7 linked regions of the Callithrix jacchus genome follow. The protein of the gene in region 3 purifies or fractionates together with the protein of the main gene of each other region. This does not show direct contact. Links are inferred from orthologs where the notes say so. Each region holds a gene or a part of one and is shown on either strand. Other genes may lie near its edges. The genes, in order: PRMT1, HNRNPU, SERBP1, RBM42, TSR1, LARP7 and DNM1L.

Region 1 (4,254 bases), on a different chromosome or scaffold from region 3:
ATGACAACCCTACAGCCCCCCAGGAACCCCAAAACCTAACAGCCCCATTTTCCACTTCCACGACCCCCCCCAGAGCACCATCCAGGGGAGCACCCCAATACCTCAGCCACGCCTACCATATCTCCAGTCTCTCTGCCCCCGTCTCTAGCTCAGCCCACAGCTGGGGAGGGGAGGGGAAGGAAAACGGGGGCAGACACAGGGAAGGGCAAAGGGGGGCTGGAGGTGGAGTTAAGGAAGTAGCCTTGATACTGGGGGAGGCCAGCAGGGCCGTGAACCTGGAGGGGTTGCTACTAAGTGTCTGGGGGCCTGGGGTCAACTGGTTTGAAGCAAGAGGGGTATGATTAGACCTCGAGAAAGGGCCAGTGTGTGGCAAGATATACTGATGTGGAGGTCAGGGTGGGGAGGGGTCTCACAAAAGGATATTTACTTCTTCAAGAGGCGGCTGGAGGCTCATCCCATTAGCCAAGGTGGCTACAAAATTCTAGGAGAGAGTAACAGGGAAAAAGGATTAGCTACCAGGAGTGGCTGCAGGGGGCTGGGCGGCGGGACCTGGGCTCTGGCAGGAGGTGGGGTGGGTGGGTTTCCAGCAATTCTTCTTCTTTGTGGGGAGTGGTGGCAAAGGGGGCAAGTAATGAGGTGGGGTGCTTAAGAAGGGATGGGAAAAGTGAGGGGAGAGAAAAGAAAGGGGGTCTCCGACCCCAGCTGTGGCTGGAGAGATGGTGGCCCGCCCCCACGTTGCTCCTCTCTGGCCAGGCAGCTGACCACACACCTCCCCCATCCAGGCCAGGGAAATTGGCACTGGCCACCGCCAGCTGTCGCTCCCCCTCATCACATAATCTCCCCCAGATTAGGTGACACTTCCTGACACACACACCCCTATCCTAGGGTGCCATGAATAGCAGGAGGGAGGGGGGCTGGCAGGCTATGCCCACAGGGCATCTGCCACCTCTGCAAACCAGTCTCTTGTCTGAGAGGATTCCAGAAAAGAGGTTTGGCCCACAGGCACTCCCCCAGAGCTAGTACCCCAGTCCCCAGCTCCTGCCTTGGGCTCAGGAGCCCCCAAACAAAACCAGCGGGAACCAACCCCCTCCCTTACAACCCTCTGCCCTGGAAGATGGAGTCCCAGGGATGATGGGCAGCCCCTGGACTCTCTAAGAATGAGAGGACTCCAGAAAGTGGCTTGGGGAGTCAGCCCATCGCCTCCATTCAGACACCCATCCTAGGCCCTGAAGACCCCTAGGTGCGGCCAAGCCTGAGGCCACCCCTGGGGAAGATATTTCCTCCACCCTTAGAGCCCTGGTGCAGGAGACCGCCAAGGGGGTGGGAAGTCATAGCAGTGACCCCTGGGAACTGCATCCTGAGAGCTGACCTGCCCCTCCAGCCAGTGCCATAGGTAAGGGGTGGAAGAACAGAGGTCCCATCAGATTACATCTCTTCCAGATGTGACCACTTTCCAAGTCTCCAAGAAGGGCCACATCACAGGCCATGACCTACTAGGCTGCAAGCACCCTCCCCCCAGCTCTCCCAAGCCAGCGCGGATGCCTATAAGAAGTGCTGGGGGGTTTTCCCGCGGGGGCCCATTTCTCAATCACGCTGAAAACTACCTCAAGACAATTCCAGCCCAAGAGGGCTTGAAACGCAAGACGGAAACCTCCCCCACATGGCTGAAAGAGAACCCAACCTAACTCGAAACCCTTTCAGGCAGCCAGCCTCAGGACCCCGGGGTTCAGGACCCCCTGGGGGGGGGGTCATCTCCCGCCCTCACAAAGGCCCGGGGGAGATAAAGGGCTCCAGGAGAGGATAAAGCTCTCAGCCTACGTATTTCCCACCACCACTCATTCCCAGCGGATATACCCTCCTCCCTCCCCCGCCCGGAAGAAATCCGACGGTAGGTGGGCTTCGGGACACGCCCCATGAAAAAGATGTTCCTCCCACACACCCAGAAATGGCCACAAGGGGGTGCACGGCACCTATTAATGGGAAAATCTCCACCTAGATGCCCCACAACCACCCAGAGGGAGGTCACAGGGGCATGCCCCATCCCCCAACTCCTAAAGCTCTGGGCTAGGGGGAGAATTCTGAGATGGGAAACGGGGTCGGGGGGACCCCATTCTTTTGTCTTCCTCCAGTGCCTAACCCAGAACGCACAAAACCGGGGCCGCTGTCCCAACAGATGTCCCCGGAGCTCGGAAGGAGGTTGTAAAGGGCTGAGAAGCACTGCCCTTCCCCAGAGACTCCCTACATCTTGGTGGGCCCCAGATCAATCCCACCCCAAGGCGTGTGCCCGCGTCTCCGGGGAGGAGAGCTGGTGGCCTCAGACGGAGGGTCGGGCCCCCTCCCCGCCCCCCCGGGCGCCCCTCCCCGGCCGGGGGCGGGGCCTTTGTCCCGCACGTGGAGCCCGCCAGGCCACCGGACTCGGCACACCCCCTCCCCACCCACCGCGCCGAGGCCACGTGGGGGCCTGGCCGGAAGCGCCCCCAGCCCCCCTCCACGTGGGAGGGGGGATGAGACCCTCCGCTAGGCCGGATGCCGAAGGCCCTTGAAAGCTAGGGAACCGCAACTTAAAACGATATCCCCGGATGCGGAGCGTGCGGTGACCCCGTGTGCGGCGGGCGACCTCTAACCTCCTGTCGCCGACTTAGAGCCCTTTCCCCACCACAGAGCTGTGAAACACCGACCCAAAGCCGCCCCCCTCTCAAGGCGGCGCTTCAAGCGCTCACCTCCATGATGCAGTTCGCGGCCTCGGCTGCCGCCATCTTCACCCGCACCTAATCCTCCTCCGGCCGCCAAGACCCCCCCTTTCTCCTCACTCCCCCGGGACCGTCTTATACCAGAAGGTCTAGGGCCCGCCTACCGCGACCCCGCCGGAAGATTTCATTGGTAAAGGAGGCAGCCCGTCTGAGAATACCGTCTAGTTATTGGGTAGAGAAGACGTCGATCATAGGTCAGGGGTTTGCCAACTCTGGCGCCCAGAGTCCCGCCCCCTCAAGTCGACCTGGGATGGGGAAAACTGCCCGTCTATTGCAAAAAGCGCGACTGGTGATTGGGCAAAGTCTACATAAATGCCCGCCCCTTTACCCCAGCACCGCCTCAAAGCTTCCCGGCGAGCCCCGCGCTAAAGGGGCGTCTCGAAATGCCTGTCCATCACCAAAACGACCCGCCTCCTCATCGCTCCCATTGATTTATCCTAACATGACGTCACGCAGCCCTTGGCCCACCCTCGCCAAGCGGCCGGCTTCAAGGAGAACACGACGATTGGCCCAAGGGTAGTGAAGGAGGCGGGGTTTCAGGCACCACCGATTGGCTCAAAGGAACTCCCACTCCTCGAACACTCGGTGGATTTTCCCAGGCCGGGGAGGGTCTGGAGGAAAAAGGGGGCTTGTGCCCATTCTGGGGGGAAAAAAACTGAATCAGTGAGAGGAAGGGCCTGTCTGGGGTCCCTAAGCAAGTGAGGAATAGGTGTCCGCCTCAACACATTAAATCCTTATATCCTAGCCTTTGACATAATCATTCCAAGTTTGTTTTTTGTTTTTGTTTTTCTTTTCTTTTTTTTTTTTTGAGACAGAGTTTCGCTCTTGTTACCCAGGCTGGAGTGCAATGGCGCGATCTCGGCTCACTGCAACCTCCGCCTCCTGGGTTCAGGCAATTCTGCTTCAGCCTCCCGAGTAGCTGGGATTACAGGCACGCACCACCATGCCCAGCTAATTTTTTATATTTTTAGTAGAGACGGGGTTTCACCATGTTGACCAGGATGGTCTCGATCTCTTGACCTCGTGATCCACCCGCCTCGGCCTCCCAAAGTGCTGGGATTACAGGCTTGAGCCACCGCGCCCGGTCCTGTTTTTCGTTTTTTTGTGATGGAGTCTTGCTCTGTATCTCAGGCTGGAATGCAGTGGTGCGATCTCGGCTCACTGCTGTCTCCGCCTCCCAGGTTGGTTGAAACGATTCTCCTGCCTTAGCCTCCCGAGTAGCTGGGACTACAGGCGCGTGCCACCACACCCACCTAATTTTTGTATTTTCAGTAGAGACCGGGTTTCATTGTGTTGGCCAGGCTTGTCTTGAACTCCTGACCTCACGATCCACCCGCCTCAGCCTCCCAAAGTGCTGGGATTACAGGCCTGAGCCACCACACCAGGCCCATTCCAAGTTTTTTAAGCCCATCAACCCCTCTCCAGACTCTTGGTTTTTGCCAAGTCCCTACCACTGCCAGGAACTCCCACCTCTCTTTGTCTGGCCAGCTTCTCAACGTCAATT
Region 2 (4,118 bases), on a different chromosome or scaffold from region 3:
CAGTTAAATCATATTAGCCTATGGGAGAAATTTCAATGTCTATACTTCGAAATTTCAAATTAATATTGAGACAATATTATTGTGCCACCTAGAGCACCAAACCGTGGGCATAAACCATCTCCGTCGTGAGCCGGAACACTGGCTGGACACCGCAGATTATCTGGGGCTTAAGCTGTTAACCTCTATCACAAATCTAAAGTCTGCCTTCCCTATGTAAAACTTCAAGAACATCACATCTTTAATGAGAAAACGTAAACTTCAAACATACAACAAAATATCAGGTTTATTTTCAAGCGCGATAATCCATTTTTCTTTTTACAAAATCACAACCATTGATTTTTATGAACTTTTAAGTTTCAGAATGATTTCGTCAAGAGTATTTCTACAGGAATAGAAAGAGATCGAAGTGTATGCCCTCGCTGGGTCTCACCCTCACTGTTAGTTACCGGGACTTCACAGCCGGATGAGCAGGTCCTAAGGTGGACAGAACAAGGAGGTCCGTCTTTGCGGTAGGTACAGAAAACTTGGAAGTGCAATTCTGAGGCTTCTTCAGGGTTATTAGGAGCTTGATACCAGCTGCCCCGAAAAGGCTGGGTAAGTGAGGATTTACACTACGGAGTAGCAAGCAAGCCTCTGCTTCCCAGGCCCTGCGGCCGGGTGTGCAACAGACAAAAGAACAGCTCTGCGCTTGCCCTTCCCGAACTTGAAAACCAGTTCGCAAGGCCGGACTTACACAAATTAAATCAAATAACAGGATTATGCGGAAAGGAACCCCTGCGTATAACAGTTGCCAGCGTGTTATGCCACTCAAAACTGAAACACGATTTTAAGGAGTTTTAAACGAATGGCTGGAGACCCATCTAAGAAGGCAGATCTAAGATGGAAGAAAAGGCGGACTCGGGTTGAAATGGCAAATTGAGGACTGAAGAAAGCATTTGGATAAAACAGCCTTCAGGCTGGGAAGGCAAAAAGCAAAACGAGTAGAGCCACCAAAGCCCCAGAAAGGCCAACAGATCGTGCAGTGGGTCGGTTTAACTGAAAGGCGGTTTCCTTTTCCTCCATTTGCTCAGTCCCAATTGGAAGCGCACTGCACGGCCTACGCCGCGCTCTCGGGCGGGGTGCAGCGTGGGGGCGGGGAGATAAGTACGGTAATGGGCGGGGCCGAGCGCGGGCGCGCTCCGGCTTTCCCCCGGCGCAGCGCTCCCGTCAGCGCAAGGGGCGGGGCGGCTATATTACGTGCGCGGCACCGCCCCTGCGAGAGGACGTTGCGTGCTCGCTCGCGCCAGGCGAGTCTCCGCGTCTCCGTCGCGAACTCGGTGAAAGGAATTGGCGCCGTTCGACATCAGGCGGATCCGCTCTGCAGCACGAACCCATCTCCAGCCGCAGCCTAAGCCGCAGCCGCCGCCCGGGCCGAGGAGCAGCCGCAGCAGCCGCCACCAGTGGCCGAGTGAGCGGAGCCGAGTTTGAGGCAGCGCCTAGCGGTGAATCGGGGCCCTCACCATGAGTTCCTCGCCTGTTAATGTAAAAAAGCTGAAGGTGTCGGAGCTGAAAGAGGAGCTCAAGAAGCGACGCCTTTCTGACAAGGGCCTCAAGGCCGAGCTCATGGAGCGACTCCAGGCCGCGCTGGACGACGAGGAGGCCGGGGGCCGCCCCGCCATGGAGCCTGGGAACGGCAGCCTCGACCTGGGCGGGGATTCCGCCGGGCGCTCGGGAGCAGGCCTCGAGCAGGAGGCCGCGGCCGGCGGCGACGAAGAGGAGGAGGAGGAGGAGGAGGAGGAGGAGGGGATCTCCGCCCTGGACGGAGACCAGATGGAGCTAGGGGAGGAGAACGGGGCCGCGGGGGCGGCCGACGCGGGCCCGATGGAGGAGGAGGAGGCCGCCTCGGAAGACGAGAACGGCGACGATCAGGGTTTCCAGGAAGGGGAAGATGAGCTCGGGGACGAAGAGGAAGGCGCGGGCGACGAGAACGGGCACGGGGAGCAGCAGCCTCAACCGCCGGCGACGCAGCAGCAACAGCCCCAACAGCAGCGCGGGGCCGCCAAGGAGGCCGCGGGGAAGAGCAGCGGCCCCACCTCGCTGTTCGCGGTGACGGTGGCGCCGCCCGGGGCGAGGCAGGGCCAGCAGCAGGCGGGAGGTAAGAAGAAGGCGGAAGGCGGCGGAGGCGGCGGTCGCCCCGGGGCTCCGGCGGCGGGTGAGTGCTGCGTTGTACGTTGCGCGCGGCGGGAGGCCCGCGCGGGGTGGGGACCGTGCCCCAGGCCTGCCGGAGCCCCGCAGGGGGAGGGAGCCCCCGGGCGGGCGGGCGGGGGCCGCGGCGAGGCTGGCGGGTGGGGGAGGGGGCGCGGGGAATCCCAGATTAGCCGAGAGGCCTCGGGCTCGGGGGGGGGGGGGTGGTGCGCGCGTGTGACGGCGGTGGCAGCGCCTCCATTATGTGGCTCGAGAGCTGGGGGGAGCTGCAGCTGCCGCTGGAGGGGGAGGAGCCGCGGGCCGGCGGCGGGAGGGAGCTTCGTCGGCCCGCGGTGGCGCCGTCGCGCTGCGTGCGCGCGGTGCGGGCACATGTCTCGGGGGGAGGGGAGAGGCCCGAGGTCCCGGGGCGGGCGCGCTTTGGCGGCTTCTCGCCACTGTATTGTGCAAGGAGCACAGGGGCTCGGCGTGACGTCACTTCCGGCGGGAGGTGCCGGGCGGGGCGGCGGGCGGAAGATCTGTACAATGCGGCCGCGGGGAGCGCGGGCCTGCGGGGGAGGGGAGCGCCGAAGCGCCGGGCTGGACGCCCCCCCCCGCCCCCCTCCCCCCGTCTGCTCCGTGCGCCCTCTTCGGGATACACGTGGGCTCCTGGCTTGGTCCGTGCAGTTTCTCTCTGGCCTTCTCGAATCATCGAGGAGACTGGCAAAATTAGTAACGTCTTTAGACTGCGTCACTAGCGCCAATCTAATTCCTGTCTGATTGTTCTTTGAAGGCACATTTGAGTCCTCGGTTAAAAGCTCATTTAAAAAGCCGGGTAAATCGAGCTGCTTTGTGCCTCGGCCTCGGAAAAGGGTGTTGTGTTGTTTAGCGGCTTGACCTCTTATGGGGGTGTTGTGTGTTTTAGGGGATGGCAAAACAGAACAGAAAGGCGGAGATAAAAAGAGAGGTGTTAAGAGACCACGAGAAGATCACGGCCGCGGATATTTTGAGTACATTGAAGAGAACAAGTATAGCAGGTACAGGATGCTCCCCTAGTTTTACTCGTCAGCACTTACTGGTTTGTTGATCAGAAAGCTGTATCAGGAGACACTTCTATCTTTCAGAGCCAAATCTCCTCAGCCACCTGTTGAAGAAGAAGATGAACACTTCGATGACACAGTGGTTTGTCTTGATACTTGTAAGTGAAGCTGTTTCTCCCCAATTATGAAATGCAGTGGTGGTTTTTCGTTTTTTTGTTTTTGGTTCCAAAATGTTAGAAAATTTAATGCAGTCTATGTTGAGCTTAAGTGCTGAAAACTTCGGTGAGGTTTTGAAAGCAGGAAGGTAATGGTTTCTATTCGGAAGCACGCAGTGTAATATTTAGCACAGCATCAGTTGTATTAAATGGAATGTTACAGGCTCTAGCAGTTTCATATTTTTATGACTTGAAAGTTCTCATTCTTAGGAAATGTAAAATTAATGCCAGTTTTTGACTATCTGACGGAAACTTGTAAAACTACCTATAGTTCAGACTTACAGGCTCCTACAATAAAGTAATTAATTTTTTTGTGGAATTCTATTAAGTGAGCTATTTGGGCTAGTTATATATTAACTAATGACTTTTCCCATTAGCACACGAATATATTCCCTATTCTAAAAGATTGTAATATTATTTTCAATAACTGCTCTTTGTTCTCAATTCCAGTTCAGTAGCTGCTGCTTTAAACATAAGTTGATTTCTTCCAAAGACCTGAGGCAGCAGCAGTGGGCTATCACTGGGCCACTAGCTTTCTTCAGCAGCGAAATGGTATCAATGACAGTGCAGCACTGTAAATACTGCTACTTTACCCAGTTGGGTTGCAATTAGTATGAGGAAGTATTGCAAACCTCTAAGTGGGCTTTGTTGTTGCTATAAAAACTGTAGTTGGTTTAGTGATCAGAATGCACAACTCTGATAA
Region 3 (3,500 bases):
AGCCTCCTGAGTAGCTGGGGAACTCATGCCTGTGCCACCAAGGCCAGCTAATTTTATTTTTTATAGAGAAGGGTCTCACCATGTTAGGTATCACCCAGGCTGATCTTGAACTCCTGGGCTCAAGCAGTCTTACTGCCTCTGCCTCCCAGAGTGCTGGGATTACAGGTGTGAGCCACCACACCTGACTTTATTTTTTATTTTTATGTGGTTGGTTGGTTTTATTTTTTTTCTGAATATTTTTGATCTGTGGTTTGTAATGAATTGAAAGCATTGGTTTGAAATAGAAAACATTTAAAAATCAGACAGCATATATAATTGACTTTAATTTACTGATGTTTTTGTGAATTTGTTTTTAAGTTTCTGGGCTCCACTTAAATTAGTATTAGAACTTTCTGTTGCCTTACAGTGTATTGATGTGGCACAATGGGATGACATTGAATACTATTATGAGATGATGTAAGGGTTGAAAACATAGATTAAAACAAGTTTATTTGCACTTCAGAGGGTAGTTATTAACAGCTGTAATATTGTAAGTTGAATCTAATGGAGTTGTAATAGTACAGGTTCTACTGAAAGAATAAAATGTTTATTATCCCTTAAAGAGAAGGATTTTTTTTTTTACATGTATTTAGGAAAAACTGTACTTTAAAGTCAAATAAGCAAAGATTTTAGAAGATAAAACCCATCCCAAGCATACAAGAAGACAACAGGCATCGAGCAGTGTAGAATTGTCTGACCTTTTGCTTTTTTCCCCCGGACTGGGTCATGTATCTTTATATAAATAGAAAAACTGGATTTCACAAACATGACTACATTTTTAAGAAGGTTCTAATTGGGCACTGTGGCTCATGCCTGTAGTCCCGGCACTTTGAAAGGCCAAGGCCAATGGATCTCTTAAGCCCAGGGTTTTGAGACCAGCCTGAGCAACACTGCAAAAACCTGTCTCCATAAAAAATTTTTAAAAAATTAGCCAGTTGTCATGGAATGTGCCTGTAGTCCCAGCTACTTGGGAGGCTGAGGTGGGAGGATTGCTTGAGCCTGGGAGGTAGAGGTTGCAGTGAGCCCAGATCATGCCACTGCACTCCAGTCTGGGTGACAGAGTGAGATTTTTGTCTTAAAAGAAAAAAAAAAAAAAGGTTCCTGACATATTTAACATTTGGTCCTCTTTGTGCATAGCTTTCCAATGTGTGTGGTTATCTTTGTGCATAGCTTTCCAGTGTTTCCCTCTTAATGTAAAGTGTGTAGTGTTTTACTTGAATTTGTAGCTCTAATTTGTATAGAAAAACATAATAGTTGTATATTAACAGAAAATGCTTCTAAGAAGTTTATATGTAATACTGTCTTTACCCAAGTTGTAGTTGGAAGAGTGTAGAACAGAGGTTTTCTTTTTAACTTGAGTGTTCTTTTTAACTTCAATGTTAGTACTAGTAAAATAACCTTATATGTCTTCTATCCAAAGGTCTACATCAAGGATTCACATTGGAGTCCTAAACTGAAGGGCATATTTAAAATGTATTTGTCCAGATTTCACTGCTAAAGATTATGATTCAGTAGGTCTGGGATGGGTTTCAGCTATTTGCGTTGATTGTGATAACATATATGACTTTAGTTGAGGACTGCTGGTATTACCTGCAATTTTGAGATAGAGAGAAGTGAAGGAAATTCTTTCTTCAAGATCACTATAGCTGAGTATAGCTTGTTACCTGTGGAGACGTTTGTTGACAGAAAGTACAGTTTTTGGAGTTTTGGTCATTTTAGAAGAAAGCTTATTATTTAGGAATTTTGCAACATTGCTTTTCTACTACTTACTCAGTCGTCTTCACTTATATTTTTAGGCTCATGCTGAAGATTCGGTTATGGACCATCATTTCCGGAAGCCAGCAAATGATATAACGTCTCAGCTAGAGATCAATTTTGGAGACCTTGGCCGCCCAGGACGTGGTGGCAGGGGAGGACGAGGTGGACGTGGGCGTGGTGGACGCCCAAACCGTGGCAGCAGGACCGACAAGGTAATTTAAGTCCTTCTTTTCCTTTTAAGTAATTTAAGGACCTCTTATAAGTCACTGACTGGGTCTTTTTGTGAACGTAAGTAGAAGTAGTAGCCATGTCTTCAGGAAAACACATGTTAGGTTATATTTTTGTTTAAAGCACTTAAATGCCTTTTTGTATAAAGTTAGTAATGTTTAATTGCCACACTTTAGAGTTCCTGTTAGGTGCCGGTCCTGGTGCTGGGCTAGGCATTTTGTGTGCTTAATGTCATTTAATTCTTGTTACTATGATGACATTCTCATTTTCCACATGAGGAAACTGATAGAGTGAATCAAGTTAACTCTTGGCCTTTGCTAAGGTTTACCTGAAAACCAGTTGTTCACTTTGATAATTCCTAACTGCTTTTTAGGTCTCCGCTTAATAACCGTTGTGTTCCCTGTATAACTTCTTTTGTGACACTCATGATTGTTGACACTTTTTCTTTTACTAGACTCTACTGTGAAATCTGGAATTCATTTTTGTCTTATTTTCTATAATCTCTCCAATGCCTTGAACAGTGCGTGTCACAAAATAAGTTCTTAGCTAAATATTTTGATGAATTCCCAAGTAATTGATAGATATGAACTCAGATCTGATGCTTGGAAACAACCATAATGTCCACCTAAATTCTCAGCACCTGATACACAAATTCAGGGACCCACCTGCTTGATTCAGTCTGTCTTTGATTATAAGGATAACTTAATAGTATAGATTTTGTGGTCTTTACTGCCAGTGTAATGATACTTTGTTTCTACCTCTAAGACCAATCTGCTTTTTTTTTTTTTTAAGGCAGCAATTAGGTTGATGGGTTTTTCCCATACCTTTTTTAGTTCTGTGGCTGTAAAAAGCAGTTTGGACTCCTTTTTTCAGACTTATTACCTTGTTGATTGTTGCTACTTAAATATTAGTTTCTTAGCATGCTTTTTCACATTTATGCCATTCTTACTTAGCAAGTGGAAAAAGTATAAGAATACTGAACAACAGGCCGGGCACAGTGGCTAATGCGTGTAATCCCAGCACTTTGGGAGACTGAGGTGGGGGGATCATAAGCTCAGGAGATCGAGACCATCCTGGCTAACTTGGTGAAATCCCGTCTCTACTAAAAATGCAAACATTAGCTGGGCACGGTGGTGCATGCCTGTAGTCCCAGCTACTTGGGAGGCTGAGGCAGGAGAATTGCTTGAACCTTGGAAGCAGAGGTTGCAGTGAGCTGAGATCGCGCCACTGCACCCCAGCCTGGGCTGCAGAGCGAGACTGTCTCAAAAAGAATAAAAAGAGGAATTACTGAACAGCAGTGTGAATTCACATACATAATTGCATGTGAATCTACTTGTGTGGTTTATTGGAAAAATAAAGTAACTGGCTGGGCACAGTGGCTCACGCCTGTGATCTTAGTACTTTGTGAAGCCTGGGTGAAAATCACCTGAGGTTTGGAGTTTGAGACCAGCCTGGTAAAAATCGTGAAACCTGTT
Region 4 (4,011 bases), on a different chromosome or scaffold from region 3:
CCAATCTCACAACACAAGCCAGGGTCCTTTTTTTTTTGAGATGGAGTTTTGCTCTTGTTACCCAGGCTGGAGTGCAATGCCGCAATCTTGGCTCACCGCAACCTCCGCCTCCTGGGTTCAGGCAATTCTCCTGCCTCAGCCTCCTGAGTAGCTGGGATTACAGGCACGCGCCACCGTGCCCAGCTAATTTTTTGTATTCTTAGTAGAGACGGAGTTTCACTATGTTGACCAGGATGGTCTCGATCTCTTGACCTCGTGATCCACCTGCCTCGGCCTCCCAAAGTGCTGGGATTACAGGCTTGAGCCACCGAGCCCGGCCGGGTCCTTTTTTTTAAAATTTTTTTTTTTTTGAGACAGAGTCTCACTCTGTCACCAGACTGGAGTGCAGTGGTGTGATCTCGGCTCACTGCAACCTTCGCCTCCCAGGTTCAAGCGGTTTTCCTGCCCTAGCCTCTCTTGCAGCTGGGAATACAAGTAAGTGCCACCATGCCCAGCTAATTTTTGTATTTTTAGTAAAGATGGGATTTCACCATGTTGGCCAGGATTGTCTCGATCTCTTGACCTTGTGATCCACCCGTCTCAGCCTCCCAAAGTGCTGGATTACAGGCGTGAGCCACCACGCCGGCCACCTCAGGACCTTTGCATTGGTAGTTCTCTGCTGGGAGTGCTCTTCCCCCAGACATCTGCATGGTTCCCTCCATGTCTCCTTTGTATCTTTGCTTAAATGTGATTTCCTCAGAAAGGACTTCTGTGTCTGTGCTAAGGAACTTCCATCCTTCTTAACATACTTTTATTTATTTATTTATTTTGAGATTGAGTTTCACTCTGTTGACCAGGCTAGAACACAGTGGTGTGATCTCAGCTCACTGCAACCTCTGCCTCCCAGGTTCAAGCGATCCTTCCGCCTCAGCCTCCCAAGTAGCTGGGATTACAGGCGTGTGCTACCAGGCCTGGCTAATTTTTTTTTTTTTTTCTTTCTTTTTTTTTTTTGAGACGGAGTCTTGCTCTATTGCCAGGCTGGAGTGCAGTGGCATGATCTCAGCTCACTGCAACCTCTTCCTCAAAGGTTCAAGCAATTCTCCTGCCTCAGCTTCCCAAGTAGCTGGACTACAGGTGCGCGCCACCACGTCCAGCTAATTTTTTTTGTTTTCAGTAGAGATGGGGTTTCACCATATTGGCCAGGATGATCTTGATCTCTTGACCTTGTGATCCAACCACCTCAGTCTCCCAAAGTGCTGGGGTTACAGGTGTGAGCCACCCGTCCTGGCCAATTTTTCTATTTTTTTAGTGGAAACCATATTTCACTAGGTAGGCCAGGCTGGTCTCCAACTCCTGACCTCAAGCAATCCGCCCACCTCAGCCTCCCAAAGTGCTGGGATTACAGGCCCCAAAAATACAGTGATTATTTTTGTTTTGTACTTGGCTATAATGCTGAATGCCTAGAATAATGACTGGTGCATAAAAGGCACCTGATAATTATTTGTTGACAGAATGATCAAGTTTCATTTGCTCATTTTCATTTTTTAACTTGAATTTTTTGCAGAGACTAGGTTTTACTCTGTCACCCAGGCTGGGGTGCAGCTGCATGATCATAGCTCACTGCAGTCTTGAACTCCTGGGCTCAAACAATCCTCCTACCTCAGTCTCCCCAGTAGCCCTGACTACAGGCTTGTGCCACGAGGCCTGGCTAATTTTTCTGCCTTTTCTTTTTTTTTTTGGAGAGAGAGGATCTGTGTTGCCCAGGCTGACTCCTGGCCTCCAGCGATCTTCCTGCCTTGGCCTCCCAAAATGCTGGGATTACAGGCGTGTCCAGCCTGTTTTCATCATAATAATTTATCTCTTCTTCTCTACTATTCATATATGGTTGGCTATTGAGCACTTGAAATGTGACTGGGAATAAGGAACTATTAAATATAAATTTTAAATATATCAGAACATTTCCGTTATTGCAGAAAGCTCTACGGGACAGCATGCTCTAGAATATAAGCTCCCAAAGGGCAGAAATGTCTGTCTCAGTCATTACTGTGTTCTCAGTGCCTGACACACAAAATATTTGTCATGCTAATTAGTCAACAAACCAAAACGTCAACAGCTCTCTGTACACAAACACCTACTGTGTTAGAGATATTGTGTTCCCTGACTTATATGCCTTAGCTCAACCGTACCTGCTGGTATGTGTTTGTCGCGATAATTGGGCGGATCACAGGAGCCGCTGGGACCTGCATCGCTTCTACCGTGGGGACCGTGGGCACTGCAGGCACAGCAGTTGGGATTCCGGGTACTGGAGCCCCTAGAACTTCCTGCTCAAACCTGGAGGAATAGAACAGACACCAGAGCTCAGGATCTCGTACCAATTTTGGAACTCTGGGTATACTTCGCGGGGACCGTCACCCCTGCCAACCTCTCCCCTATCCCCACCCCCACAATCCCGAAGGTCCCATTTCCCCACGTTAGAGCGCATCTCTGGCCAATCGAGGCCTGGAGGCTCCGGGATTCGGAGGCTCTGGCTCTGGGACGACTTTTATCTCTCCCTGTCGTGGGCCTTACAGGGCCATCTCCGCCTCCATTTCCTTCAAGCGTTCCTCGCCGCTCTTGCCCGGGATGCCAGTGCCAGGGCCCGGGACCACGGGTCCTCCTGCACCCGGGAGTCCCGGGGCTGGCCCCGCCCCAGCCATCGCTGCCGCCGTCGCTGTCGCCGCTACTACTGTCTCAGCCTAGACGCCGCCGCCGCCGCCGGTTCTGCTGTCTACTCTCCTCCTTCGTCAGGGTGGGCTCACCGAGGATGACGTCCAGCAAAAGCGACGGGCGCTGACACATGACGTCATAAATCCGGGCGCGAGGGCCAATGAGACCTGGCCACACCCTCAGGGGGAATCCAGGCCAATGAGAGTGAGAGAATGACAAACAAACGCAAGAACCTGGGCCTATGAGAGCGCAGTGAAGATAGGCGGTCTCGCCTTCCTGGAGGAACACAGGCTAATGAGAGCAAAGCAAAGTCAGTTGGTCCCGTCCCCAATGTGGAATCTGGACCTTTGAGAACGCAGGAAAGTTCGGAGGCCCCTCCTGTGCCACCGCGAAGCCCGCGCTGGAAGTTTTAAAAGACGCTGAAGTCCGCGTCAACCTCAGGGTTGGGCAAGGCTGGGAGGCCTAGCTGGGGTCTGGGGCTGAGGGCTGGGGGCTCCTACCCTGGGGTAGGTTGACACTCGACCTGTGGTTCCCATGAAGACTAGAGATGCCCGGGAGGAAGCGCCTGACCCGAGCTTCCTGGCGGAGGACATCTGAAGACATTTGAAGATGAGACGAGATATTCAGGGTGGGAGCCAAGGCCCACACTAGTGCAACGCAGAGGGGCACGTGCGTGGGCTTGGTCCCTGTCCTTTCTTGGGACACAGCTGACCCCTCTTTTTTTTTCTTCCCCGTAGCCCTCAAAGTGTTTTATTCTGAATATTTTCAAACATGCACATTAGAGGGACTAGTATAACAAACTCTTAAGTACCTCTCAAACGCTATCAATATTCGACACATCTGGATTTCACCTGATCTATGCTTCTCTTATTTTTTATTTTAATTAATTAATTTTGAGATAAGAGTCTCGCTCTGTTGCCCAGGCTGCAGTGGAGTGGTGCCGTCTCGGTTTATTGCAACATGCACCTTCCAGGTTCAAGCTATACTCTTGCCTCAGCCTCCCGAGCAGCTGGGATTATAGGAGGGTGTCACCACGCCTGGCTCATTTTTGTGTTTTTAGAGGACACGGGGTTTCACCATGTTGGCCAGGCCGGTTTTGAACTTCAGACCTCAGGTGATCCGCCCGCCTCAGCTTCCCAAAGTGCTGGGATTACAGGCATTAGCCACCATGCCCAGCTATTGTATGTATGTATGTATGTATGTATGTATTTTTGTATGTATTTATTTAGAGACGGAGTCTTGCTCTTGTCGCTCAGGCTGCAGTGCAGTGGTGTGATTTCAGCTCACTGCAACCTCCACCTCCTGGGTTCAAGCAATTCTCTTGCC
Region 5 (3,500 bases), on a different chromosome or scaffold from region 3:
TGGGTTCAGGCAATTCTCCTGCCTCAGCCTCCCGAGTAGCTGGGATTACAGGCACGCGCCACCATGCCCAACTAATTTTTTTGTGTTTTTAGTAGAGACGGGGTTTCACCATGTTGACCAGGATGGTCTTGATCTCTTGACCTCATGATCCATGGGCCTCAGCCTCCCAAAGTGCTGGGATTACAGGCGTGAGCCACCGCGCCCGGCCTGTTTTGTTTTGTTTTTTTTTTTGTTTTGTTTTGTTTTTTTTGAGATGGAGTCTCACTGTCGCCCAGGCAGGAGTGCAATGGCATGATCTCTGTTCACTGCAAACTCCCCGTCCTGGGTTCAAGCAATTCTCCTGCCTCGGCCTCCCAAGTGGCTGGGATTACAGTCATGCACCACCACACCCAGCTAATTTTGTATTTTCAGCAGAGATGGGGTTTCTCCATGTTGGCCAGGCTGCTCTCGAACTCCTGACCTCAGGTGGCCTGCCCACCCCGGCCTCCCAAAGTGTTGGGATTACAGGTGAGCCACTACACCTGGGCTGTTTCCAGTATCATTCTTGTCGATGACTCAGGGGCTCCCCTAATTTCCCAACGCAGCATATTTCCATGCCAAGAGAAGGAGTAAAGTGGGAGCATGTTGACAAATGAAAGCAACATACAAGATGGACAAGGGCAGATACCTCAGCTCCTTCAACCTCTTTTTCTTCAATCTCCTTAAAGATGCTTTTCCTGCTATTAGTAAAGTTCTGAAACTGAAATATCCGAGCATACTCTTGAGGAAGGTTTTCCTTAGGATCCCATGGAGATGTCCGGAAGCTCTTGAGGCCTCTGTATTTCTGAAATCTAGAATATTGAAGATTTTATAAAAATTAAGTCAGATTTACATGGTGCTATATAGACTCAAGTCACTGCTAAAATGGCTAAGGATCTAGCTCAAAAGAACTCCAATCACTATCTCTCAAAATAAACTATCAGCTTAAACCAAGACCACACTGCAAAACAACTTGTAACAAGTTGTATCAGAACCAAACCCAAGCTTCCCACTGACAAAAGACAAAGGATTTATAGTGGCTCCCTGACAAAAAAGATGTTTGGTAATGACCTGGTATAGTTCAGATGTGTGTCCGTGCCCAAATCTCATATTGAAATACAATCTCCAATGTTGGAGGTGGAGCCTGGTGGGAGGTGACTGGATTATGAGAGAGGTTTTCTCATGAATGGCTTAGCACCATCCCCGTTGGTGAGTGCGTTCTCATGAGATCTGGTTGTTTAGAAGTGTTAGCACATCCTGCCTCAGTCTCTTGTTCCTACTCTGGCCATGTGACATAACTTGCTCCCCTTCTGCCTTCTGCCATGATTGTAAGTTTTTTTCAGGCTGCCCCAAAAGCTGAACAGATGCCAGCACTATGCTTCCTGTACAGCCTGCAAAACCATGAGCCAATTAAATCTCTTTTCTTTATAAATTACGCAGTCTCTGGTACTTCTTCATAGCAGTGCGAGAATGGCTTAATACACAGCCTTATCTCCTTAATATCCAAGATTAATTCACTGGCTTTAGTCACTCACCTCCAGAATAGATATAATCATCTACATCTTCACTCTTCTACTTCTGCTATTCTACCCAAACCCCCTAAAATCTCCAAACATTATATACTTCAATTGAGTATTGGCTCCTTTGGGAAGAAGTATTTGCTAATTAACCTTAGTATTTCTCCTTCATTAAAGTCCTGTAATAGTAGTCTGTACCACAGTCTAGAACTTGATTATATATTACCATTTCCTGTATGTATGTATGTATGTATGTCTTGCCTTCCCATATTAAATGTTAGCTCTTCAGGAGCAGGAAAAATGTGTTTTTCTTCTTTTGTATCACAGTGACATAGCTCTGAGCCAAGTTTTTAAAACCTATTGACTTAATTTAGATTTACTGACTAACCGAATTCTAGCAGCCACATCACGGGGGGTGTCCACCTCATCCGGAAACATCTCTTCCAGTCTTTCTTGTTTATATTTCTCCAACTTTTTTGCCTCAGCTTCTTCATCTACTTTCTTATCATACAGATCATCATGCACAGACTCCCCTATAGTCATAGTTTCATATTCTTCCTCTTCTTCTTCACTACTCTCATCCTGTAGAATAAAGGATTATTTATTTCAGAAGAAATCCACACCCTAAAGGCCAATAAGCTAAGAGTAAAATAATTGTATTGGATACCTATTCCCAACTAACATAGATTCTAATACGGCCTAAAGCAGAAAACAAAAGCCTCATTCCTGGCAACTAGAGTCATTCCTAAGAAACTAAACATACACACCCCTCAAGATTACAATTGCACTTTGCTTTATGTTTGAAGCTAGACACAGAAATGGCCTAAGGCCTCATTTCCTTACCTGAGATTCTTCTTCCATAAAATCCTCATGTTCCATATCATCATATTCATCTCCTTCCCCATCACTTTGGCTGCCACTATCCAAAATCCATTCAGCTTGGTAACTGGATGTTCCTTTGGGGACCTTCTTTACCACCTTAGAACTTTCCTTCAAGAAATCTGTAAAAGCCCAAACAAATTAAGTAAATTATAGCTATCCTTTCCCTATCCCTCTGGTTATTCTCACCCAGGCAAGGCACTAGACGCTGCTGCCAACATGGGAAATTCCAGCAGACACCATAAGCAGAACTAACTACTTCTAAATTTAATTCCGTTGCCTCACAACTAGCAATACTTACACAGCTAAATAAGCCCTGCAATGAATCCAAAGTTGTTTATCTGTTCATGATAAAACATTAACACAAGTTATTTTGAGAAATGGAACAAAGCTGTGTCTAATGTTTGTTTAGTGAAAACATATAACATTTGAGGATGAGGAGAGACTTTCAAATATATCCCTATCCCACTCTATCCCATATGGTTCTCACTCTGAAGAGCTAGAGGAAATCCACAATTCCAGGTCAGATGAATTACAAACAAGTTTACCAATACCAACCCTTTGCCTCACTCATCTCCTCCTCAGTGGGCCAGGTTTGCTCCCCCTCCATTGGATCTGGGATAACCTCTGTTTGCAAGGATTCCTGTCTATCAGGGTCTGCCTTCATTAGGACCTTAAGGTCTTCTTCCATATCATCTACAGTATCCGTAGCACAAATCTGAAAACCAAAAAAGCAGGTGATAGTCAACCATTAACCAAAAATCTCCCAAATCAAACAGAATAACCAGAAAGACCCAGAAATACCGGTCCTCATGTAGAAGATGAATGCAACAGAATGCCAAAACTTGTCAAAATTTTTCAAATGACCATTTTCTAATTTCCAGGGTTTTTTTTTTTTTTTTTTTCCGGAGACAGTGTTTTTCTCTTGTTCAAGCTGGAGTGCGATGGGTCACTGCAACCTCCGCCTTCCGGGTTCAAGCGATTCTCCTGCCTCAGCCGGATTACAGGCATGCGCTACCACACCCAGCTAATTTTGTATTTTTAGTAGAGACAGTGCTTCTCCATGTTGACCAGGCTGGTCTCAAA
Region 6 (3,500 bases), on a different chromosome or scaffold from region 3:
GAAACAGAGCAAGACTCCGTGTCAAAGAAAAAAAAAAAAGAATATACTACTTTATAAGTAAATTCAGAGGCAACCATTAAATTCAGAGGCAACCATTATCCACAAGTTGGTCCCTTTACTGAAGCAAACTTACATCCATCTCTAGATTTTTCTATCTGTTCTCGAAGAAATCTATCCTTGTGAAGATTTGCATCCCCAAACCAGAAGTCCACTTGCTTAGCAATATCTGCAAGCACCTGTTTAACTCGTGATCGTTTCTTTTTTTCAACTTCTTTTTTCTTTTCAGTGCTTTCTTCTTCCATTATCTTTTCTTGATTTCCACTTTCAGTTTCCATTCCTGTGCATTATAAGAAAAAGAGGTAAATATTTAAATCAGCAAAACAGCAAATATAGTTTAATTTAGAGTAGCCTTTAATTGTCTGAGAGAATAATGGTCTCATCATTTGGCTGTCAGAAGACAAAAGGAAAATTTATTTTTATATTTAATAATTTAAATTATAAAATAATTTACCTCCTATGTTAGAAATCGCAGCTTTAGTTTTTTTCCACCTTTTAAATTGCAGGGCCAGATTATTCTAGTATAACATAACAACTATGCGTTTATCTCACTAAGCTGTACTTTTAAGCCAGTAAATGAAAAGTGTAAGATTAAGCAACCTGGATATTTTCCATCACAACCACCACCCTCCCCCACCAAATAAGTTTTATTCACTTTTCTTTTTTTGAAATGAAGTTTCATTCTTGTTGCCCAGGCTGGAGTGCAATGGTGTGATCTTGGCTCACTGCAACCTCCGTCTCCTGGGTTCAAGCAATTCTCCAGTCTGAGCCTCCTGAGTAGCTGGGAATTACAGGTGCCCACCACTACACCCGGCTAACTTTTGATATTTTTGGTAGAGATGGGGTTTCACCATGTTGGCCAGGCTGGTCTGGAACCCCTGACCTCAGGTGATCTACCTGCCTTGGCCTCCCAAAGTACTGGCATTGGCCGGTGTGCCCGGCCTATTCAGATTTTTAATATTATAACCTTTATGGGACAAAATAAAAATAAACTGATTATTGATTTTGATTTTTAAAATGTTAATTTATGCTTTCTAGAGGCAGAAATTTCTTTTTTTACTTTTTTTTTAATCTTTTTTTTTTTTTTTAGATGGGGTTTCACATGTTGGTCAGGCTGGTCTTGAACTCCCAACCTCAGGTGATCCGCCTGCCTTGGCCTCCAAAGTGCTTGGATTATAGGCCTTAGCCACCACGCCTGGCCTCTTGGGCAGCAATTTCTAACCCCCTCCTTCCTCAAGTTACTTTGCATAGCTCTTCCCCTTTGCTTTGTCAGCTCCAGTCATACTGTCCTTGTTGTACTTCCTGAAACTCACCCAGCAAAATCTATCAGGTCTAAACCTGTTCTTGAAACACATATCCCCAGCGATAACAGCTTGCTCTCCTACCTCCTCAAGTGCCTATTTAAAGGTCACCTCTTTGAAGTCTCCTCCCACAACCATATTTAATAATGCAAATTTCTGGACACATACATGGTAACTTCCATGTCTTATTTTCGTCCATAGCATTTATCATCTAACATTACTACAACTACTTTGCAATTCATTTTCTTTCCTAGAATGTAAGATCAATGAAATCAGAGATTTTTGTCTGTTTTGTTTACTGACAGATTGTCAGTCCCTGCCACAACAGTCCCTTAAAAATCTGTTGAATAAATTGTGCCTACATTTTGTTGAATGAATTGAATCACTTGAGGTATATGAGCAAAGGATCCGGTCTGGGATAACACAGCCTGCTTGAGAATAACCTCAGTCTCCCATAATACAGTCTTCTTGGAAACTGGAGAAACCAATGGGGAGTGTTGTATCTGTTTCCCATGTTGTACCTGGTTTGGAGCAGCTATTGAATGACATGGAGGCCTTATACCTATGTGACCGGAACAACAGATTGACAGGCAAAAGGTGTTAAAGCTTTTATGTGTCAAATTATCCTAAACACACCTTGGTCCTTATCTAGGGAAGCCATACATGCCTCTTGTGGGTAAATGGGAGAAAAAAGAAACGAATCTGGGTAATTGCTAGATATAATGGCTTGGCCATTGCTGGGATGAAGAAGCTATATCTACCCTATCTTTTGCCTTGTATCTTTCTTTGGTAAACATAGTATTTGAATCACTTGAGTCTGATAGCTGGTAAGAGGGTCCAAAGCCCTTAATGCATTTCACCTCAAATCTCCAACTAAACATGCATTCTCATCAACAGAAGGACATTTTGGCATTTTAGAACAGGCTTCAGTAGATCAGTCAAGCACCAAGTTTGAAGATATCCAAGTAATATCATATTTAGGTGATGCTAATTTAAGACATAAAACACAGCTACAGGTCAGAATAATAGAAAAACAATCAGGTGTCATTAAGTACCACATAACCACGTTCTTCACCTAATGGTCTTACTTCAACCCATTCTGTCAGGCTTTCCTCTGCACCATTCTAGAGATACTGCAAAGTCCTCAATGGGCTTGGTCTACTTGACCTCTCAGCAGCAAATGCAGTTGGTAACTTCCTCCTTGAAAATACTTTCTTCGGCTGGTCATGGTGGCTCACACCTGTAATCCCAGCACTTTGGGAGGCTGATTACAGATGCCTGCCACCATGTCTGGCTAATTTTGTATTTTTAGTAGAGATGGGGTTTCACCATGTTAGTCAGGCTGGCCTTGAACTCCTGACCTCAGGTGATTCACCTACCTTGGCCTCCTTCAACTTATTTAAGGATGCCATATTCCACCAAAAATTAACCAATCAAGCTATTTATTAGCTGTGTGGATTTTGAGGAAGTTACACCATCTCTCTGTGGTCTATAAAACATGGATAAAAATCATACCTATGTAATAGTCGTCAGCATTAGCCAAAATAATGAAAATAAAGTACTTCAAATTGCTGATACACAGAACACAATAAGTAACCATTATTCTATTCAATCTGTTGTTAAATCTTATCAGTTTGACTTTTGAAATGGCTCCTCATCTCCATCCAGTGTTTTCTGCAACTACTGTCACTAGAATATGGCCACAGTTTATAAACTGTTCTGTAAGTCATCTGTTCTCAGCAGGAGCCTATGTATAACCCATCTAAAATACAGACTTGGTTTTGTGATGCTTATGTCAAAACATGCAACATTTGAAATTCCTAAGCACCTTCCTGTAACATAATACACAATTTAAGAAAACATTGCTTAAAAAAAAAGTAACATTTTACTGGAATAAAAGTTACCATGTAACACCACCAGTTACTTTATATACATTTTTGTAAATCCTCACAATCCCACAAGGTAGCAGTTTCTTCCTTTTTTTTTTTTTTTTTTTTTAGACACTGTCTTGCTCTGTCACCCTGGGTGGAGTACAGTGGCACAATCTTGGCTCACTACAACCTCCGCCTCTGGGATGCATGGTTAATTTTTGTACTTTTAGTAGAGACAGGGTGCCATGTTGGTCAGGCTGGTTCTTCCATC
Region 7 (3,067 bases), on a different chromosome or scaffold from region 3:
ACCCCCCCAAAATAAAATATGCACTCGTGAGAATATTAAAAAGTATCCAGGCAAGGAAAGTTTTTAGGTCAAACCTAAAGGATTTGGAATCAAGACTGAGTTCAGCTCTGCAAACATGAGGCAAATTAATTCTCCAGAACTATTTCCATATCTGAAAAAAAAGGCAGTGGCCGGGCCTCCCTGTTGCCCTGAGGATCAAGTGAATCACATATGAAATGATTAATCAGATTTCTTTTGAAAATCTTACAGGCTGCAGAGCATGGCTTTAGTGTTCAAATTCTAGCCATTTACTACCTGGATTACTTGGAGCAAGTCACTGTGTTCATACACAAAAATGGCAATATAATAATACCTTGGTGAACTGTCAGAATCTGGTAGGAAAAAAATCATAGAACGTTTAGTACTCTATACGATTGTTTCAAAGTAGATTTAGATATTAAAAAGCTCCTTTTCTTCCTTTCTGTGGGAGAAAACCTAAGAATTTTTTTGACAAACTTTAATGTCATTTCATACCAGCAATTTTATTTACACAGCAAGAATATACAGGTATCCATTGTAAATGTCAGAGATCATCTCTACATTTCAGAACTTGACTCAGTTTAAGGGCCAACAAAAGAACGTTTTTTCTCTTTCCATTAAGTTTCTTGCCTCTGTTTTTCGTTGTACAAAATGTGTAGTACTAGCAAGTGCATTACCATAGCATGTCTTTAATTTTCAGTTTGAAATCTGATGTGCTAGAGAAAAGTGCATCGTAAGTTTTTTGGGTTTTTTCCCCTTACGAATTCAGAAGACTATCTGGAAAAAGTAAATCGTGGATGGCTATAATTTTGAAACTGATGCTTAATGACAGCAGAGTGATTTTTAAATGTGGTAACAAAAGTTTTGGGAGCATGTATCCCGTCAAGATGGTACTAGTAACAGATTCAAGGTAGTGCCATATCATATCAGACTTATATGGGATTTTTAATGTTTGAGATCAGTTGGCGAGCCTGTTGTTCCTTAGTAAATTGGTACAGTAAGCTAAAGTTAACATTCATATTTTCCCTGCCAATAGTCCTTCATAAATATCTGATCATAAACTGAAAAAAATTTAATATCTATAATATAAATATGTTGTCTGTTAGTGATGGGGCTGGATGTCAGGTATATCTTAAAATTTATAATGTAGTTTATACCAAGAATCACCTGGGGATTTATATGTTCTAAACCTCATCACTACCCCATAAATGGCAGTTTAAGTCTGTAAGTCTTAAGGAGTTTGTCTGTCTGGGTGTTTTTCTTTCAATAACAAAGCTCCTCCGGTACTTTCATACTATTCTAATATATTTTGTTGGAATATATTTTGTTTGTATGCGCTAAAGCAAAAGTAGCTATTACCAGCATACACATACAGTATATTGGTTTTAAGTCCCATCTCAAAGTGAATCTTAGAGGCTGGTGTAAGTGCTCCATTTTAAAGATGTACCTTCGTTGTTACTACTACTGTATTTGCAAGTTAAGGGAAATTTAGGTCATCACTGGATCTTCTAAAACTAAAAGGAACCGGCCATCATTACCAACTCTTACTAGATAATCAAGGGTAGATGGCTGTTGTTTTTAATGTAGGAATTAATGTAGGCATTCATGCTTACAGGTTTAAGTATGAATCAAAGCATATTTTAATATGCTAGGGCAAATGGACCCAGAATTGGAAGGGCTATGTAACTACACAGTATGCACGCCACATCCATGTCCGTGTCACAGATCCTCTTATGCATTCAGCTTTCTTAAAAACACATCAAAGGCTGCAGAGTAGCTCAGAAAAAGTAAATTGAAGGACAGGTGGAATACAATGACTGTATGTGAGGAACTTGCCAACCCACATCTTTCAAAGCCAGTTCAGTTTATACAGTACATGCATTATAGTCAAATGAAATGTTGTCTTGGTGCTTTCTTCTTGGAGGACTATGGCAGCAGCTTTAAGACTACTAACAAAGATTACACAGGTCATCTTATCCACAGGCAAACTGCTTTGTACAACTAGAACATTAACAGTTCTTCTTAAGTTTAGATGAAACTGTCACAAGACAGACTTGATGTATTTTATGTATGTTGGGAAACTTTAGAAACAGCCATTTATTATTTGGATTAAATGTGTGATTTGTTCTGCAATATGGAATACACTTTTCAGTTTATAGCCAGTCTTCACATGAGCAGATTCATGCCATTGCAGTACACAGGAGTTCATAAATAAAATTCTACTCAGGCAGTAACTAGCAAGTTTTTGAGTCAACAAAGTCTGAGTAGTATATAGTTCTCTTCACCAAAGATGAGTCTCTCGGATTTCAGCAATAATTTGACTGGCTCCTTGTAATGCCTGCATTAAAGGAAATAAAAATTTTAAATGCTTATTATAAAGTTATGAAATTAATCAGAATTGTGCAGGGTAATTTTTCCAGTGTATATGTGGTAGGTTTATATTAACCAATATTAGAATCTAATTAGAATCTAATCAAGTACCAACAAGAAACAAACCAAGCTAGAATATAAAGACTATATATACATATATATATACACACATACACACACACACACACATATATATATCCAAGAATCCAAACTGCATTTCTGTCTACTGCCAAAGTATAAAAACTCAAAAGTTTCACAGTACCTTTAGCATATCAGCTGCTTCTTTCCTGCGCTGTGCCATGTCCTCAGATTCAGTCAGAAGATCATCCAATAAGGATGATTTATACAGCTGGCCTACTAGCTCACTCTGAAGAGTGTCTTTCACATGATTAACCAAAAAATGCATTACTGCCTTTGGCACACTGCAAAACAAAGCCAAATTATGGAATTTTAGCCAAAATTCTACTTTTAATAATTTGGGCTTAGATGCTGACCTCATGAAATAAGAACACTGTACTACTTTGGATATTTCATTAATGGCATAATTGCCCTTTAGATTTTTGCTTAATTATAATTTAAGAAAAGCAACAGTTCAGTGGCTAATGCCTGTAATCCCAGCACTTTGGGAGGCCAAGGTAGGTGGACTGCTTGAGGCTAGGAGTTTAGTTTGAGACCAGCC

The links.
Region 1: the proteins of SERBP1 (region 3) and PRMT1 purify together in Homo sapiens (affinity purification with mass spectrometry; 3 studies listed by BioGRID and IntAct, with this or other methods). This does not show direct contact. The link is inferred for Callithrix jacchus from reciprocal best matches to the Homo sapiens genes SERBP1 and PRMT1.
Region 2: the proteins of SERBP1 (region 3) and HNRNPU purify together in Homo sapiens (affinity purification with mass spectrometry; 3 studies listed by BioGRID and IntAct, with this or other methods). This does not show direct contact. The link is inferred for Callithrix jacchus from reciprocal best matches to the Homo sapiens genes SERBP1 and HNRNPU.
Region 4: the proteins of SERBP1 (region 3) and RBM42 purify together in Homo sapiens (affinity purification with mass spectrometry; 3 studies listed by BioGRID and IntAct, with this or other methods). This does not show direct contact. The link is inferred for Callithrix jacchus from reciprocal best matches to the Homo sapiens genes SERBP1 and RBM42.
Region 5: the proteins of SERBP1 (region 3) and TSR1 purify together in Homo sapiens (affinity purification with mass spectrometry; 3 studies listed by BioGRID and IntAct, with this or other methods). This does not show direct contact. The link is inferred for Callithrix jacchus from reciprocal best matches to the Homo sapiens genes SERBP1 and TSR1.
Region 6: the proteins of SERBP1 (region 3) and LARP7 purify together in Homo sapiens (affinity purification with mass spectrometry; 3 studies listed by BioGRID). This does not show direct contact. The link is inferred for Callithrix jacchus from reciprocal best matches to the Homo sapiens genes SERBP1 and LARP7.
Region 7: the proteins of SERBP1 (region 3) and DNM1L purify together in Homo sapiens (affinity purification with mass spectrometry; 3 studies listed by BioGRID and IntAct, with this or other methods). This does not show direct contact. The link is inferred for Callithrix jacchus from reciprocal best matches to the Homo sapiens genes SERBP1 and DNM1L.

What each region holds. Positions count from the first base shown.
Region 1 is NC_133523.1:43,444,021-43,448,274, reverse strand, and holds the start of PRMT1 (protein arginine N-methyltransferase 1), read right to left. Parts: upstream 2,801-4,254; 5' UTR 2,757-2,800; coding exon 2,721-2,756; intron 2,622-2,720; exon of another isoform or gene 2,440-2,621; intron 482-2,439; coding exon 428-481; intron 217-427; exon of another isoform or gene 120-216; coding exon of another isoform or gene 102-119; intron 1-101. UniProt on the Homo sapiens protein: Arginine methyltransferase that methylates (mono and asymmetric dimethylation) the guanidino nitrogens of arginyl residues present in proteins such as ESR1, histone H2, H3 and H4, FMR1, ILF3, HNRNPA1, HNRNPD, NFATC2IP, SUPT5H, TAF15, EWS, HABP4, SERBP1, RBM15, FOXO1, CHTOP, MAP3K5/ASK1, MICU1 and NPRL2.
Region 2 is NC_133520.1:41,327,376-41,331,493, forward strand, and holds the start of HNRNPU (heterogeneous nuclear ribonucleoprotein U), read left to right. Parts: upstream 1-1,318; 5' UTR 1,319-1,500; coding exon 1,501-2,191; intron 2,192-3,085; coding exon 3,086-3,197; intron 3,198-3,284; coding exon 3,285-3,358; intron 3,359-4,118. UniProt on the Homo sapiens protein: DNA- and RNA-binding protein involved in several cellular processes such as nuclear chromatin organization, telomere-length regulation, transcription, mRNA alternative splicing and stability, Xist-mediated transcriptional silencing and mitotic cell progression.
Region 3 is NC_133508.1:104,649,693-104,653,192, reverse strand, and holds part of SERBP1 (SERPINE1 mRNA-binding protein 1), read left to right. Parts: intron 1-1,835; coding exon 1,836-2,009; intron 2,010-3,500. UniProt on the Homo sapiens protein: Ribosome-binding protein that promotes ribosome hibernation, a process during which ribosomes are stabilized in an inactive state and preserved from proteasomal degradation.
Region 4 is NC_133523.1:31,829,416-31,833,426, reverse strand, and holds the start of RBM42 (RNA-binding protein 42), read right to left. Parts: upstream 2,801-4,011; 5' UTR 2,676-2,800; coding exon 2,548-2,675; intron 2,311-2,547; coding exon 2,166-2,310; intron 1-2,165. UniProt on the Homo sapiens protein: Binds (via the RRM domain) to the 3'-untranslated region (UTR) of CDKN1A mRNA.
Region 5 is NC_133506.1:65,921,096-65,924,595, reverse strand, and holds part of TSR1 (pre-rRNA-processing protein TSR1 homolog), read right to left. Parts: intron 3,133-3,500; coding exon 2,973-3,132; intron 2,537-2,972; coding exon 2,379-2,536; intron 2,118-2,378; coding exon 1,924-2,117; intron 831-1,923; coding exon 668-830; intron 1-667. UniProt on the Homo sapiens protein: Required during maturation of the 40S ribosomal subunit in the nucleolus.
Region 6 is NC_133504.1:84,550,414-84,553,913, forward strand, and holds part of LARP7 (la-related protein 7), read right to left. Parts: intron 338-3,500; 5' UTR 336-337; coding exon 134-335; intron 1-133. UniProt on the Homo sapiens protein: RNA-binding protein that specifically binds distinct small nuclear RNA (snRNAs) and regulates their processing and function.
Region 7 is NC_133510.1:38,741,723-38,744,789, forward strand, and holds the end of DNM1L (dynamin-1-like protein), read right to left. Parts: intron 2,811-3,067; coding exon 2,651-2,810; intron 2,357-2,650; coding exon 2,300-2,356; 3' UTR 501-2,299; downstream 1-500. UniProt on the Homo sapiens protein: Functions in mitochondrial and peroxisomal division.